Linked DNA regions of Saccharomyces cerevisiae S288C. The gene in region 1 interacts genetically with each later gene. Each region holds a gene or a part of one and is shown on either strand. Other genes may lie near its edges.

Region 1 (3,793 bases):
GTTCAGTCTGTCGATAATGTTTGTGACTTTTGTTTCAAATGCATCTGCAGGTGTACTGCCATTATATTGCAAATTTGCCAGGGTCACAATGTCGTTTGCCTCTTGGGTATCAGATTGCATTTTTTCAATACTTTTGGAAAGAATTTTCATGATATCCGTATAATCAACGGATAGGATGTCTTTGACCCAGGTAGGTAGGAATTGAGAGGGAGCAAATATTTGAAAAGTGTTATACAAGAAGGTGAGTTCATCATCAGTGATCTGACGTACGGGTTTTCCGTTTACTGTCGGAATAATACCACCGAGATTCGAGTTTTGTAAAAATTTGATGTATGTTTTAACCCAATTTGGAAAATCATTAGGTGAGGTTAACATTGGTGGTGGTCTGACATATTTTTTAGTGGATGTCATATCAGAGTCCGCTGAGGATGAATCAGTAAATGTATTACCTGACTCAGGTGATGGAGTGCTCAGAGGCGTTCCAACTGATGATGGATACTGCGGAAACTGTGATTGTGGCCCAGGTGGAAAGTACATAGGCGACATTTGATAAGGTGTATACGGAATCATAGATGGGTGTCCGTAAAATGACCAACCAGATGGATTGGCTTGGTTTTGGGTCATCATGCACTGCTGTGGGTACGGCCCATTCTGTGGAGGTGGTACTGAAGCAGGTTGAGGAGAGGCATGATGGGGGTTCTCTGGAACAGCTGATGAAGCAGGTGTTGTTGTCTGTTGAGAGTTAGCCTTAGTGGAAGCCTTATCATATTCTTGAATTTTGGAAGCTGAAACGTCTAACGGATCTTGATTTGTGTGGACTTCCTTAGAAGTAACCGAAGCACAGGCGCTACCATGAGATATATGTGGGTAATTAGATAATTGTTGGGATTCCATTGTTGATAAAGGCTATAATATTAGGTATACAGAATATACTAGAAGTTCTCCTCGAGGATATAGGAATCCTCAAAATGGAATCTATATTTCTACATACTAATATTACGATTATTCCTCATTCCGTTTTATATGTTTATATTCATTGATCCTATTACATTATCAATCCTTGCGTTTCAGCTTCCTCTAACATCGATGACAGCTTCTCATAACTTATGTCATCATCTTAACACCGTATATGATAATATATTGATAATATAACTATTAGTTGATAGACGATAGTGGATTTTTATTCCAACAGAAGGTGATCTAAAGATTGAGAAACAGTCACCAGATTTAGGGGAAGCTGAAATGCAATGATTGATAATGTAATAAGAAGCGAGAGGGAAAGTATAAAAAGGAAGTGATCAATTTGTGAATAATTTGATAACCGTTGGGATTCTATTGTTCGCAAGGGCTTTATTTTATTATGTGTACAGAATATAATAAAATTTCCCCTGAGAGATATACCAATCCTCAAATTGGAATCGATACTCCTATATAATACAATTACAATTATTTCTCCCTCCCTTTCGTATGTTTCATTATCCTAGTACATTATCAATCCTTATATTTCTGCTTCCATTAAATTTTACGACTGTTTCTCAATGTTTAGATCATCTTCTTACACTGTATATGATAATGTACGAGTGGCATGAATACTACTGAACAGATGATATTTTATAGCTTCATTCCAACAGAAAGAACATAAAGTAATATCGTTACGTAAAACTATCGATTCCCTTTTGACGATTCCTACATCCTCGAGAAGAAGTTCTAGTATATTCTGTGTACCTAATATTGTAGGCTCTAACAACAATGGAATCCCAACAATTAATCATCTTGATTATTTTATTCCCCGCGTTTTAGAGCATCAATCTTGCCAGCTTATAGCTGGTCATTGTCGACGATAATCTCAAGCACAGGGCTAAAAAATAAATTGAAACGGACAGGAATTGAACCTGCAACCCTTCGATTGCAATCTTATTCCGTGGAATTTCCAAGATTTAATTGGAGTCGAAAGCTCTACCATTGAGCCACCGCTTCAACTTTTATTGTTTATATTGACACCTGTATAACAATATAACCACAATAAAAGGTTCATTCAAAGCTCCGGCTAGCATTCGGCGATTAATGAAGAAAGTTAAACCGTGATTTATTACTTCTTGCTCGTTTTTTCCATCATAAGTTCGCACAGAGCAGTATATATAGTGATTTGCAAATATGAATAGCGGTGGTAGTGATAGTTTCGATTATCTTCTTCAATTAACAAAAGCTTTAAGTGCAGAGTGTCGGGCTAACAGACAAGAGACCGATCGAATAGAACTATTGTTAAAGCGCCTTGCCAAACAGTCAGGAATATCTTATGATAATTTGAGCAAAAACATAATTCCAGATTCATGGAAAGATAATGCATCTCAAAAAGCATCTCCCCCCACTGAGGCACAGAAGCTTATCAGCGAAAATTTTAAACTCATATACGAGATTGAAAAACAAGAGTACTTCAATACAAAGGCTGTTGCGCTAATTAACAACATAAATGAGCATTTCTCATATATTAAAAATTTTATCGACGAACAGAATGCAATAAGAGAACGAAATATTGCCACATTTTCATCAGAGAAGCTTGATGAAAGGAACAAAAGTCTTCAACAAAATTACGAGTCATTGAAGACAGAAAATGAAGAAACAAAAAAAAAATTGCATTCAATTATCAAACAGTTTGAAAAACTTTTGAAGGAAGTGGATTGGGATCGTATATCTAAAGATTCCAGAGATTACAGCCGCTTTAAAAAACAGTTGGAATACCTGCAAGACACGTACCAGGTACTGAAATAGCCTACGATGGATCGAACAAAAGTGTAAGCAGACGTGAAATAGCAAACCTTTGAATGCATTTATATATTTTAATATACTTATAACAACGGATAAATGTTTAGATCCCTTTTGAAAAAAAAAAAAAATTAGGATGAACCGAAAAAAATCATACTCGTATTCCTCTATCGTCTTCACTGGCATTATTGTGTAAAGAATTATTACCAAATAACCACCTGAACCACCCCACAGTATCATTCTTTAAATCTTTAAAATAACGGCGGCTCAGCATCTTTAAACAAAGAGCTTCATAGGTGGGGTTGTTAGTGGTCATCAAATCATTTACGCATCTATCATATTCGTCTTTATCACTCTTGGGATCTATTGCAGAGCATATTCCAGTTTTACCCTGTCCCTGAAGAGAGCTTTTCAACCCAATTAATTTGGAATCAAACTGAGCAACACTACTTTCAATATCTCGTACACGAACTTCCAATATCCTCATATCATATTTCAACCTAGATGATAAGGAATTTAACTCTTGCATCTCATGGAGAAGAAGTTGTTGCTTATTGTCAATGTCTTCAAATCTCCCTTCAAACACTTTTGCACCATCTGAATACTTCTTATATAGTTCTTGCAGTCTTTTATATCTTTCGTTGAATTTAGAGTACTGACCAACAGTTCCCTCCTTATTTAATTTACCCATATAATGCTCATCCATTTCTTGTATGTGTTGCTGCGCTTGGATGTCGTATTTCATTCGTAACAAATCTCTAGCTATTCGAACAACAGATGGATCAAATGGTAAATCCCATTTTTCCACAATATTCTGTACAGCAGAAGAAGAGTTGCATCTATACAAACGAGATGACTTTTCCTTCAGCTCTGAAAGATCTTCATAAATGTTGTCGTGTGTGCGATCTTTACAATAGGGAAACGAATTTCTTCGGTAGTATTCTCCTTGATATAATTTGTTGATGCCAAAATTATATGCATATTTGGTATTATCGTAGTTTGGAAACATTGATGACACTGTTGCAGATGA
Region 2 (2,663 bases), on another chromosome or scaffold:
GACCTACAGTCGTTGCTCCTCCTGGCTTTTTTTCCCTTTTATTTTTTTCTGTTTTTACTTCCATTTCTTTTGTGATATTAGCTATCCCTGGTTTGGTCCGCAAGTTTATGACAAAAGATATTAGAACAGGCGATTTAGTGTTATGCAAAGTTGGCTCGTTTCCACCTTGGCCAGCTGTAGTATTTCCACAGCGTTTGCTGCGAAACGATGTATATAGAAAGAGAAAATCCAATTGTGTTGCTGTTTGTTTTTTCAACGATCCAACTTATTATTGGGAACAACCCAGTAGATTAAAGGAGCTAGATCAAGACAGCATTCACAATTTCATATTAGAACATAGTAAAAATGCAAACCAAAGGGAATTGGTCAATGCTTATAAGGAAGCAAAAAATTTTGATGATTTCAACGTATTTTTACAAGAAAAGTTTGAAGAAGAAAACAGGTTAAGTGATCTAAAAGCGTTTGAGAAAAGTGAAGGTTCTAAAATCGTTGCCGGAGAAGATCCCTTTGTAGGTCGAACAAAAGTAGTGAATAAAAGAAAAAAAAATTCAATATCCATCAAAGAAGATCCGGAAGATAACCAGAAATCAAATGAAGAAGAAAGCAAACCGAACATCAAACCGTCCAAAAAAAAGAGACCCACAGCTAATTCGGGAGGAAAATCAAACAGTGGCAATAAAAAGAAAGTTAAATTAGACTATTCCAGAAGAGTAGAAATTTCACAGTTATTTCGCCGCAGGATTCAAAGAAATCTAATCCAGAGAGAAACACCTCCTACTGAGCATGAGATCAAGGAAACTCATGAACTATTAAATAGAATATATGAGAATTCTGACACCAAACGGCCCTTTTTTGATTTGAAGGCCCTACGCGAAAGCAAATTACACAAGCTACTGAAAGCAATTGTTAATGATCCTGACTTAGGCGAATTTCACCCACTTTGTAAAGAAATTTTACTGTCCTGGGCAGACCTAATCACAGAACTGAAGAAAGAAAAGTTGCAAGCGCTACCTACGCCTTGATAATAATACTTATTGAATCAATTCAATATATCAACGTTTCAATATCCAATATTGTTTCATTTCATTTCATTTCAAATAAACAGTGTTTTACCGTTTGTTTTGTTTCCCTTCTTTTTTTCATCAAATGGTAATATTAAATTGATTTAATTATCCATCCATAAAAATTGTATTAATAAGTCATACACGTAATGTCACAACAAAATATCAGGCGTACTCTTGTGACGTACCAAAGCGCTTAGAAACGATAAAGGCCCGGGACAGAAATTTAAACGTCACAAGTGGGTGCAGCCCAGTTAACACTAATGTTAACGCACTTCTAGATACCTCATATATATAAATATTATCTAGAATTTCAAATTTGATATTCCTTTTCTATACTGAATAAACGATAAATACGAAGTTCAGAGTGCGAAAATTAGGGTTGCAGGCGTCTGATCTGAAAAACGTATAATTGATAGTGAAAATTATGCAACATTCTGCAAAGGAAAGTAAACCTTAAAAAAACAAATCTCTCAAGCCTTTAAAGATGAAACTCAATGAACAAATACCAAAAGACCTGTTACGCCTGATTAAAAGTTCCAAGTATGTTCATGTGGCGACATGCTCGTCAAATTGTATACCATCTGTTTCGTTGATGCATTACATATTTGTTTCATCCGCGGAAACTTTCCATAAACATGAGTATAGTATAGAAATAGATTGTAATGACTATATTATATTCACAGTGTTCGAGAAATCAGTAACCTTTCGTAATGTCATGAGCAACCCAAACGTTGCATTGCTATTTCACGATTGGATCACAGCTAAAAATTTAACTCTTCGAAAAAAAAGCGTCCATAGTAAAGATGATTTTTCATTTGTTGAGTCAGAGTCTACAAAATTTAACAACTTTTTACGAGATTTGAACCAAAGTGAATTGAATCAAGTGAGCGCTACTATCAATGGTATTGCTGATATTGTGAACCCTAATAGTGAAGAATCTACTTATTATAGGCGGTTGTTATTAACAGTCAATCCAGACGCAGATATTTTTATACTAGGAGAAGATACAGCCATAATAAAGGTAAATATACAAAAAATAAAAGTCTCTGACATGGAAAATAATACTTCTACATACGGCCAAACAGTACAACCAGTTTAACGGAAATATGATGAAAACTATGTGTACTCTAATTATTATATAAAGCATCTATAAAATGAATCATGAGGATTAGGCCGTGATCTTCGCGCTCCATATATGGAGAATACTTTTAATTTCACAGGAGAAATTAAGATAAATAACTTGAAAAGTCCACTGAGATTGGTGAAAGTGTTTCATCCTCTTTTTCAGTTTCCCTTGAACGATAGGGTGGAGTGGGACAGGCGGGAGATATGTTTTCCTGTAACGGCTGCATCTCTGGTATATTTCCATCCCGATTATATGTTTTCATGGGGCTGGAAGTGAATAATGAATTCGTTCTTCTTATTGGAGACGGGGAAAGATCAATTTTCAAGGGCTTAATCTCATCGTTTTCTCTAGCTAGATTAGACATGGTTCTCCTAGATTTGGTGTATGATGGATGAATGTTTGAAGAATCTAGTAAATCCTCCAAAATCCTGTACTTCTCATTTGAGTAATTCAATGCTTCTTGTAATGATTGT

The links. Genes that interact genetically often act in the same process or in processes that back each other up.
Region 2: mutations in FAR3 (region 1) and YLR456W together harm fitness more than expected from each alone (negative genetic interaction), as found in Saccharomyces cerevisiae (2 studies listed by BioGRID).

Annotation. Positions count from the first base shown.
Region 1 is NC_001145.3:377,432-381,224, forward strand, and holds FAR3 (Far3p), read left to right. Parts: upstream 1-2,154; coding exon 2,155-2,769; downstream 2,770-3,793. Other genes in the region: YMR051C (gag protein), read right to left, coding at 1-894; STB2 (Stb2p), read right to left, coding at 2,915-3,793. UniProt on the Saccharomyces cerevisiae protein: Participates in the control of the reentry into the cell cycle following pheromone treatment.
Region 2 is NC_001144.5:1,053,522-1,056,184, forward strand, and holds YLR456W (pyridoxal 5'-phosphate synthase), read left to right. Parts: upstream 1-1,548; coding exon 1,549-2,163; downstream 2,164-2,663. Other genes in the region: PDP3 (Pdp3p), read left to right, coding at 108-1,022; NBP1 (Nbp1p), read right to left, coding at 2,291-2,663.